Arabidopsis thaliana: one gene and its partner. Each later gene encodes a partner of the first gene's protein in a complex. Each region holds a gene or a part of one and is shown in the gene's direction. Other genes may lie near its edges.

Region 1 (5,329 bases):
TGAAGAGACGGCGAGGGTAAAATCGGTAATTAAGAAAGATTGAGGCTAGCTACTACGACTGTTGTGGTAGTAAGACATTCCTCCACAGAGATACTTGGACCAGCCTTTAGAAGAGACGTCTCTGCTAATTATCCACGTGGCGTTCTCTCAATGGATTTGGGATCTCGCACGTGATTGGAGGAGTCATCATACACACGTGTACAGTTGAGATTCAACTGCAATTAAACGACCCCGTGACATGACATGGTTATGAGTCACATATGTGCCCTCTCAAACTCTATTATGTAGTATAAAAACTGTATTAGATACAACCGACCCAAGATATAGAAGAACCTTTGAAAAATGGTAGAAGCCAGTTCAGCTAAAGCTTTCTTCTTCACAATTATCGTAAAATATTAGACATGTAGAGCAGGCTTGTTGTTCTCTTATTGTCAAGCGTAAGTAAATGATTATTGTTTAGTTTCGTGACCAATTGGTTTGTTTTTTGGTTAGCCATTGTTCGATTTGCTTTGGTTTGGTCAAAGATTGTATGCTTTCAAGTCAAACCAAAGCTGACTAAATTTTATTCTGTAATAATTTACTTTGGAATGGCAAAACCAAAGAAAGGTCATAGACACAAGAGAAGAAGCAAATATGTTTCTTACGCCAAAAGACACGTTTGTATGGTAAGACAAAAGACACGTTTGTATGTTTCTTACGCCAATACCATTACGTTAAAAATAAACTAGTAACTTAAATTTACGCTCACTTTCTATTTGGGTTTTACATGATGATTTTGGTCAAAGGCCTATTTACAATGTTGCAAGCCCATATTATCTTTTAAGTATCTTTTTGTGCAACCAAAAGAATCAGTGATCTTATGCTCATTTTCATTTTTTTCTAATGAAATTTTTCGTCACTTATGGCTTATGCGTCCGATGGACGATTATGGTAAAAGGCCCATTTATTCAATCCAAAGCTTACTGGGTTAGATGATGATTGTGGTAAAAAGGCCCATTATAGACCCAACTAAGTATCTTAGGGTTTCAGTTTCCACTATAAAACTTGTTGCGGCGTAAGTTAGGGTTTTGAGAATCAGCGGCTTCACCTCTCCAGGTTCGTGTCTCGATTTTGCAAACTATCTCTCGAAATCGTCCTACATTTCTTTCTTCAGATTCATTACTGAGCTTCGCTTTCTGGGTTTCTATCTAAAAATTTCACAGATTTCGTGTGTGAAGAATCATTTCAAGCCATGTCTCCGGCTAAAGGTACGATCTTTTCATTGATAACCACTTGAATCTTCACTGGAACATGATGGATTTGGATCTTCTTCTACTAGACTTTAGTTTTGCTGAACCCGCTAGTATCTGGTCTCGATTAATGTTTTCTAATCATGTTTCGTTAGGTGATTAGTTTCAATATCTTCCTGATTAGCTTCAACTAAGTGAGATTAATGTAGTATCCAAATGAATTTTGTCTGTAGACGTGTTTCTGAGTATTCATGTATTGAAGTCAGATTTGTATCAAAGTATTATATGATGCTTAAACTCTCTGTTGTATGTAATTTGCAGTTGATACTACCAAGAAGGCTGATCCTAAGGCCAAGGCCTTGAAGGCGGCAAAGGCTGTGAAGTCTGGTCAAGCCTTCAAGAAGAAGGACAAAAAGATTAGGACCAAGGTCACCTTCCACAGGCCAAAGACTCTTACCAAGCCTAGAACTGGTAAGTACCCAAAAATCAGCGCTACTCCAAGGAACAAGTTGGATCACTACCAAATCCTTAAGTACCCACTCACCACTGAATCTGCGATGAAGAAGATTGAAGACAACAACACTCTTGTTTTCATTGTTGACATTCGTGCTGACAAGAAGAAGATTAAGGATGCTGTTAAGAAGATGTATGACATCCAGACCAAGAAAGTGAACACACTCATCAGGTACTTTAAAGAGTATTTTTCTATGAAGCCTTGTTGTGAGATTGATTATGTTCAATATATTTGACACTATGGTTTGGTTTTGTTACAGGCCTGATGGAACCAAGAAGGCTTACGTGAGGCTTACACCAGACTATGATGCTTTGGATGTTGCTAACAAGATCGGCATCATCTAAGTCTATCTATCTCTGCAGTTATAAAGACTATTGTGGTTTTGTCTCTTGTAGTCTCAGTTTTGCTTTTAAGATATTTATTATTACTATCATCTGGTAATTGTAGTATTTTGGAGCAAAAACGTTTTACAATACATTCATGTTGCAGTTTATTGTTGAATTCAAGTTCTATGTTTTTGACTTATCAAGATTCTCTTTTTAAAACTCACTAACTTATAAACTGTAAACATACAAATGCAGTATCTTCTCTAACCAGTAAATGATCATAAATCGATCTATCACCACATATTGTTTGCATCTTTCATTATCCTTTTATCCACATGTTGATGAATGGAGAAGTCCGAGAAATGACGAAAATCAGAAATTTCTTATCCACATAGAACACTAAGGCAATGTTCATTGATCATCAAAAGTCTTGTGAATTGTAGCCACTATGGCAGTCTCCTCACTCTCAATCCGCTGTGGTGGTTTCTCACCAACAATCTCCCACAAGGTTAATAACACTGTTCTGATTCCAGTCTCCATTTCTGAAAACTAAAAATCATTATTGTTCATTGATTCATATTTCTTACCAGACAGAAATTCTCTGTCCAAATCCATCACTCAAAGCTTGTTGTTTACTTTCATCCGGTGGTAAGGCCGACTCCTCGGAGAGTAGTAAGAAACTAAACTCTTGTGACATTTTCCTTCTCATACGTAATACATTGACTTGTGTGGATTGATTTTTATTAAAATTCAATAGCTTACCAAAAAGGCAGCGGAAACAATTGGAAGAGAAGGCAAGCTCTTGTGGGAGTAGGAACTTTAGTGGCAACTTCAATTCCAGCAACTTTGCTTCTTGCTGAAGGTAATCTGCAAAACTAAGGGTTTTGTTTTTGCCTCTCTTCTTCATTCTTTTGGGACCAAAAGCCTAATATGTTGATTCATATCATGTTTGCAGAGATACCAAAAAGCTACTCGCCTTTTGTGGATCGAGAAGACGGGTATTCTTACTATTACCCATCAGACTGGAGGGTGGGTAATGGCTTTGTTTCCATTTTTGTTGAAAGAATGAAACATAAATGAATTGAGAATATCTCTGTTCTGCCCTTACTACGTAGGAATTTGACTTCAGGGCACATGATTCAGCCTTCAAAGATAGATACTTGCAACTGCAGAATGTGCGGGTCAGGTTCATACCAACGGAGAAAAACGACATCCATGAAGTAGGTCCTATGGAAGAGGTATGTATTACACACCTTACTTTCCCTCTACCATCTATGTCATTAGAGAATTCACATTGGTTCATCATTCTTATATATGTTCATCAGGTGGTTTATGATCTAGTGAAGCATAAGTTTGCAGCACCAAACCAAGTAGCTACCATCTACGATATGAAAGAGGTCAGATGATTGTTAACATCTTAAAGAATCATCAAAGTTGTTGAGAGATTGGATCTTTATAAACAATAAGAGATGAAAATGCAGAGGGTGGAAGATGGAAAGAACTATTACACGTTTGAGTATGGACTAAGAACTCCTATCTATGCAACCACTTCCTTTGCAACAGTGGCAGTTGGAAACAGTAAGCACAGATTATAAGAATTATGAGATAGATGAGAGAAGAAATTGAGGAATAAACAAGTGTTATGACTGATTTGATGTTGCAGACAGATACTACACTCTCATAGTTGGAGCAAATGAGAGAAGGTGGAGGAAAGTGAAAAAGCAGCTTCAAGTTGTGGCCGACTCTTTGAAGATCCTTCAGATTTGACAAACACAAGAAACATCTTACTCCTATATATCTTTCTCTCTCTGTGGTTACAAAACTGTCTGTAGATAACAATTTGATATTTTCATATTCTCTATAACTCCAACGATGGTTTTGGCATTGTGAGTTAGATTCTGAGTTGGTTCAGTAATTCAATCAAACTTGCAAATAAAGTGGAAATAATGTATTTACAAAACAGACATATTTCTTCCTAGCCATTACACACTTCTCCACCTAAATCACTCACAACAACAAAAAAGCAAACCTCAGCAAATAAAATTGCCTCTAATCTTCAGTTTCAATAAACAAATCGATATACCTTAAGAGACCAATCAATGAATAAATAACACAGTCCTACTTCATTGCTTAGCCTCCTGAAAGAATAAGGGAATCTAACGTCTACAAACTCCTAAGTTGCTTACAGAAACTAACCGTGGTTGTACAACTTCTGCTCATCTGCTGTCATCCCGGACCCGATAAGCCTTTGATCAGATGCATGTCCTGTAACTACATCCAATAACGTTATCTCGTGGCATATCACATGATGGTTGGTATGTGACTGAACTAATCTCAATTAGGCACATGAGTCCAATCTCTTTTAGATCAGTTGATGTCGCCGTAGATTCTTGCCAAAATGTGGTTGCATTAAACGGACATACAATCCGTTTTTACCCGCTAAACAATCATGCGTACCTTCCTCTACTATTTTGCCTCCATTGAGAACCACAATGTTATCCACATGTCTCATCATCGCTACTCTATGCGCTATCAGAATTGTTGTTTTGTTCCCCATTATCAATGTATCAAGAGCTTCCTGCACAACACGGCTCGACTCGGATTCGATAGATGAACTCGCTTCGTCAATCAACAGTATTGGAGCATTCTTCAGCACTACCCGAGCTATAGCGATTCTCTGTTTTTGTCCTTGGGTAAGCTCAACACCTCTCATCCCGATATGTGTGTCGTATCCGTGAGGTAAGCTGCTGATGAAATGGTGGGCATTTGCAATCCTTGCTGCTTCCTTCATCTCAGCTTCACTTGCATTGTGCCTTGCGTATATAATGTTTTCTCTGATCGTTGTGGAAAAGATTATGGGTTCCTGTTGAATCAGACCCATATGGCTTCTTAACCATCTCAAATTATATGACTTCAAGTCTCGCCCATCTAATAAGACCTGACCAGCAACTGGGTCGTAGTATCTCTCGATCAACGATATTATTGTGCTCTTTCCAGAACCAGAAACACCAACCACAGCTACTGTTTGTCCGCCATTGACTTTGAGACTGAAGTTGCTTAGTACTAACACTTCCGGGCGGGTTGGGTAGCAGAAGTCGATGTTTTTCAGTTCAATGCTTCCATACACGTTAGGCGGACTAAGAGCCGAGGTATCATCAGGTTCGATTGTAGGAACTCGATCTATTATTTCAAAAACTGAAGCGAGAGATCTACGGCGCTTGAGAATGTAAGGTGCTAATCCGAATGGCTCCACAAGAGCA
Region 2 (5,665 bases), on another chromosome or scaffold:
AGTTTCTTAAATCTCTCTTCAGTCCACCGAGAGTCGAATCGGGAACAACGGATGGGGATTTAGGGTTAGTACTGCCAGATTCGGCCATGTCTCCGATCACTAACAGTGGTTTATTGGACTTGATTTGAGAAGAATCCGTGGTTGCAGTAGAAGCTTCTAGGGTTTTGAAGCAGCTTGAAGTGGGAGAGAGGAGAGAGAGACGTGAGACACGCACGACACACAGACTCTTCAAGTAGTGGGAGCGTCTTTATAGAAAAGTGAGTGGCGCGACTTACAAATAAAACCGTCCAGCTTCCCGGCCCCAATTTCGTAACTCACAGGCCCATCTGTGTTATTAGAGCAACCCTAATGGTTAAACTTTTAATAGGTTTTTTCCAATTTTTTTAATTTTAAAATTTGAGATTTGAATTTAAGAGATTTTGTTGGTCTCTTAATTTTTCTTGGTTTAATGGTAGAAATTTTTAGTGAGTTTCTTATAGTAAAAAATATTATTAAAATGAAAATTATAAATATTCTATTTTATAAAATTTAATAATTAATACAAATACTAAAATTTTAAACCTACAAGAAATGAATATTGAGAATCGGAATAACAATTAGTAGTTAGTTTGATTCCCACCAAATTTGTGTTATATATGCTCAACCAAATCACCTTTCAATTGTTGATGCATAGCCCGATCACGAACTCGAGCACGAGAGACCATAAAATTACCGAGATTTGAAGACATATCTGTAGAGTAGTTAAAATAACTTGTGAAGAGATGGTTGATTCTGGTAGTATGAATTTAGATGCACCAAACGATTTTTTTCAATTTAGTCTTTGATTTGATTATTACGCCCTATGATGAGGAGCTCGACACATATCATCTTTCATCAACATTGACATCGCCATCGTAAATGGAAATAACGAAATGAAAACAATTCAACCGAAATGAAAAGAAAAAAATTGGGTCATATTTTTCCTTCTCTTCCCTCTCCACCAATAGAAGTTTGCCATGTAGGGTCCCTTTGTTGTTTGAAAAATACCGTAAGAGAGAAACAACCCTCTCAATTAAACTGATTTCTAATTTATTTTGGGCTATATAATTCAAGGGACCAACCCTCAAAAGCCCCTTAGAGGCTGCCGTTGGAGTTGGTCTCAGATACAAGGTTTAATTAGTTTTAACTTGCTCTAAAGCCTCTCTACTATAACTTTATTACATTTTGTTTAGTAACAAATGACATTCCCTCTTTTTCTCCCTTTTTGAAATAAATATTCTTTAGATTTACACAATTTTGTTGTTTTTTAGAACTGTTCATCGAAAAATTTCGTCATATTGTCACTAAACTTTTGTAACTTCTAAGAAATTTCCAATATGTTTTCAAAATTTTACCATATAAATACTAATTTTAAGAGAAAATTTGTATCAATAATATGGATTAAAACATGAAGTTAGATTTTTTTTAAAAAGCTTAAAGCCCAATTTTTTTAAAAAAATTGCAAATAATCAGTCTTGAGAATTGAGCATGTTACCAATTCATGTTATACGGAATTAACACTGAACTATATTTCGTTTAACCGTTAAATTATACATGGTACAAAAAAATTGATGTCGTTTACTACTATATAAATATTGTTGATGCCTTTTACTTGCTTGAGCCCAAGATCAACTCTACCTTCTATTTCCGTAATGAATGACAACATATAATCTTATAACTGTATTAATTTATAATTTTTTTATATGACTCGGTTAATTTCCGCGCGATGCATATTTTGTTTTGAAAAAATATTTTTGATTTGTATTTATGGTTTTATTTTCTTATATTAAATAAATATCAGAAATAGTGAACACACTATTTTCTTATAGTAGGTTTGTATTTTAGTTTATGAGATTAGTGTCATTTTGATACGATGAGTTTTTCTTTGTTTGCACTTTGCACAGGTAAATATGCTTCATAGGATCGGCTGACCTGACCCACTCAAAATTGACTCGATGCGAAGCCACGTAACCGGCAGGGGCATAACTGTAAATAACCATGGAATGTATTTCTCAGACTCTTTCGTGCTATCACTCGCTCATCGTCACCTTCACCTTCACCTACCATTTTTGCCAACAAACGCGAGCAAGAGTTTTGAGCTCCAATGGCGACCTTGTCGATGACTCTGGTGCGTTTAATTTTTCCCTTTTGTACTTTTGATTTTGTTTTACCTTTCCGCTTCTTCTGCTTCTCCTGCTCTAATTTTCGGTTATCATCATAGTCAAATCCGAAGTCGCTCTCAGCTCCTCCACGAAGACTTTCTCCGATCAATACCTCCGCTTTCACATCTACCTCTTTCCGATTGCGCACCAAATCTTCCTTCGATTCAATCTCGTTCTCGTCTTCAACTCCCTTCTCCGCCTCATCGCTCCTCCTTCACACGTCTTATACCAAAAGAAACCACCGCTGTTTCTCTGTTCAATCCAATGCTGAGGTTAGGGATTCTCTCATATCTTGTTAGTCACTGATGTCATTTGATGGAATTGGTTGTTTTATTCAGCTTACTCTTAGTTTTTTTTTTCCATTAGATTTACTAAAAGCTATGGAATCATAATATGATGTGGATTTTGTATTCCAGGTGGTTACTGAACCGCAATCGAAAATAACACACAAGGTGTATTTCGATATAAGTGTTGGCAATCCAGTGGGGAAGTTAGCTGGGAGGATTGTTATTGGATTGTATGGTGATGATGTTCCCCAAACTGTGGAGAACTTTCGTGCTCTATGCACAGGTGAAAAGGGATTTGGCTACAAGGGTTCTACATTCCATCGTGTCATCAGAGATTTCATGATTCAGGGAGGAGACTTTGAGAAGGGCAATGTGAGTTTTTCTGGCTGAATTCCTTGGCAGCACCAGTTTCTTGTTAGCTGACTTGCGGTCCATATTATGTTTCTTTTGATTTACTTTGGTTCATCTTATTTTCTGCCAAATCACAAAGTAAAGTAAGCTGTCTCATATCAGGATGGCAGGATGTTTATTAATTTCTTGGATGTGGTACATAGTATAAGTCAAATCTTTCTCGATAAGGAAGGATGCTTAAGTTCTTACTTGTACGGATTTAGAGTCGCTCTTGAAAGCACATGTTTGGGTACATTAATAGGAAAAAGCCTGACCTTTGGAGAGCTTTCTACAGACAATCTTTCTGATAGCTGGCTCTCTGATTTGTAGATCAGTGGCTTTAGAAGAACAACCCCTGTTAATCTTAGACTTTTGTTCTTTTCTATATAGATAATACCTGGGCTGTAGGGAACTTATATACTGGTTCGTGGGTATGCAACTAGCTGTAGCTCGGTAGAAATATATTGTTATTTTCTGTTTCTGCCCATCTCAGTTACCGAAGATTCTTCTAGTAACTGCTAGGAGAATTCCATAATAATGATACAGAAGTCTAATTGTTGAGCAGGGAACTGGAGGTAAAAGTGTATATGGCCGTACATTCAAGGATGAGAATTTCAAGTGTAAGTCTATCCTTTTTCACTTGTTTCCTTCTTCTTCATTCTCCCCAGCTGTGCTTTAGCATTCATATTTATCAGTGGTAATGCATTTTAACTAAACATTTCTGCATTCTCTTTTTAGCTGAGCTGAGTATAATATATACCAAACCTTCAGTTTTATAAAATTCATGAAAGTAATAATGTGCTATACGCTGCAGTATCCCATGTCGGACCAGGAGTTCTAAGTATGGCAAATGCTGGCCCTAATACAAATGGAAGTCAGTTCTTTATCTGCACTATTAAGGTAAAATCTCCCTCTGGTTAAGGCCTATTGTTAAATTAGAAGTTATACGTAGGCAAGCGAGCATCAACAATAAAGAACACAGGTATTACAGTATATAGAATCCAATAATATAACCTAAAGAGTAGAGTTTTGAAATTGGAAACGAAGAACCATCCAAGCTTTGTTGGGAAATTTAGTGTATATCAAATTAATATGCGATAACGATGTGGACAGACGTCATGGTTGGACGGAAGACATGTGGTGTTCGGGCAAGTAATAGAAGGAATGGAAGTGGTGAAGCTGATAGAGGAACAAGAGACAGACAGAGGAGACCGTCCCAGAAAGAAAGTGGTGATAGCAGACTGTGGTCAACTTCCAATGTCTGAAGCTTAAAAGTAAGATCATTTAACCAAAATCTTGTAGACATGAGATGGAGCTTGTTTTTGCATTTTACAACCCTTTCTTTTGTGTAATGGATTTGTATCCCCTTCTTCCAAAAATTTAAGAAAGAAATAGTATTCCGCTGCCGGGTGTTGAACTCATATTTCATTTCATTGGTTTGTTTCGAAATTAACCATTGTGTTATAGCGGTTCAGTTGCATTACTAAGATACAAAATCTGAAGATTCAAGAGTAGTCGATGCAGTTGTGAAATTGGTCTGTGTAATACAGCGGATTTGTTGGTTTGGTATACGAGCAATTTGTATTTAAAGTCCGATCTCTTCATAAAAAAGTAAGAACAACAATTGAAACAAAAAATATTCCGCTGCCCGGATTTGATCCCGGATTTCATTTTGAGTAGTGAAATTGGCCTGTGTGCTACAGCGGACTTGTTTGATTTATATACGAGGGATTTGTTTTTAAAGTCTGATATCTTATTGAAAACAATACTAATTAAAATAATAAGTATTCCGCTGCCGGGGTTTGATCCCGGATTTCATATTGAGTAGTGAAATTGGCCTGTGTGCTACAGCGGACTTTTTGGTTTTGTATATGAGTGATTTGTATTTAAAGTCTGATATCTTATTGAAAACTAACTAATTGAACCAAAAAGTATTACGCTGCCGAGGTTTGAGCCCGGATTTCAAATTCTGTTGTGAAATTGGCATGTGTGCTACAGCGGACTTGTTGAACATGTATCCGATCAATTTGTATATAAAGTCTGCTTTCAGATTAATGAACAATATAATTACTTGTACCTATCACATGTTTGTATTTTAGTGTTCTTTCTTTTTGGTCAACCTTTTCTAGATACAAGATATCTCTGAATACTAGAAGAGCACACCATAAAAAGAAGACATTTTCCTTGTAGAGAATAAGAGAAACCCCTTTGGTTTATTTATTTATTAAATGGTACATAACCAAATTGCACAAATTAAAGCTGTAAAAAGAGGCGTAGAAAAAGCTTGAATCCTAGATAAATCTATTATCAATGTAAAAAAAAGAGAATACAAACAAGAAAATGTTTTACTGGTCAATACTGACGTCACCCCATTGCACCTTGTGTTTAGCAGCTAGATAATGAGCACCAACAGGACCACGGCTACCATAAGGATAGTACTCAGGGATTCTCTTCTTCTCTTCAATCTCTTTAAGCAATGGAGTGAATAGCGACCAAGCTGCATCAAGCTCGTCACTTCTTATGAACAATCTTCTTTCTCCTTCTATTGCATCTAACAGAAGCCTCTCATATGCATCTGGTATCTCCTTTGAATACCTTGCTGAGTATAGAAGATTCAAGTTACTGCGATCTAATCTCATTCCTAAACCAGGGACCTTGTTGTTGATTTTCAAATAGATTGCTTCATCTGGTTGGACACGGATCACAAGCTCATTTGTAGCTTGATCAAGATCAGAACCAGTATTCCGGTTATACAAATTCCCCGGAACATGCCTGAACTGCACCCTTATCTCTGCACTGTAATTTTAC

Evidence for each region. The genes of interacting proteins can lie anywhere in the genome.
Region 2: PnsL1 (region 1) and Pnsl5 share a complex: the UniProt entries of both Arabidopsis thaliana proteins name them as parts of the chloroplast NDH complex.

The regions. Positions count from the first base shown.
Region 1 is NC_003071.7:16,473,818-16,479,146, forward strand, and holds PnsL1 (PsbP-like protein 2), read left to right. Parts: upstream 1-2,380; 5' UTR 2,381-2,517; coding exon 2,518-2,577; intron 2,578-2,659; coding exon 2,660-2,741; intron 2,742-2,826; coding exon 2,827-2,931; intron 2,932-3,024; coding exon 3,025-3,098; intron 3,099-3,184; coding exon 3,185-3,307; intron 3,308-3,394; coding exon 3,395-3,466; intron 3,467-3,550; coding exon 3,551-3,647; intron 3,648-3,732; coding exon 3,733-3,836; 3' UTR 3,837-4,026; downstream 4,027-5,329. Other genes in the region: RPL23AA (ribosomal protein L23AA), read left to right, coding at 1,232-1,247, 1,551-1,914, 2,003-2,087; ABCB6 (P-glycoprotein 6), read right to left, coding at 4,432-5,329. UniProt on the Arabidopsis thaliana protein: NDH shuttles electrons from NAD(P)H:plastoquinone, via FMN and iron-sulfur (Fe-S) centers, to quinones in the photosynthetic chain and possibly in a chloroplast respiratory chain.
Region 2 is NC_003076.8:4,161,178-4,166,842, reverse strand, and holds Pnsl5 (cyclophilin 20-2), read left to right. Parts: upstream 1-1,919; 5' UTR 1,920-2,122; coding exon 2,123-2,146; intron 2,147-2,239; coding exon 2,240-2,452; intron 2,453-2,596; coding exon 2,597-2,839; intron 2,840-3,422; coding exon 3,423-3,477; intron 3,478-3,671; coding exon 3,672-3,757; intron 3,758-3,970; coding exon 3,971-4,129; 3' UTR 4,130-4,469; downstream 4,470-5,665. Other genes in the region: AT5G13130 (Histidine kinase-, DNA gyrase B-, and HSP90-like ATPase family protein), read right to left, coding at 1-88; G6PD2 (glucose-6-phosphate dehydrogenase 2), read right to left, coding at 5,203-5,653. UniProt on the Arabidopsis thaliana protein: NDH shuttles electrons from NAD(P)H:plastoquinone, via FMN and iron-sulfur (Fe-S) centers, to quinones in the photosynthetic chain and possibly in a chloroplast respiratory chain.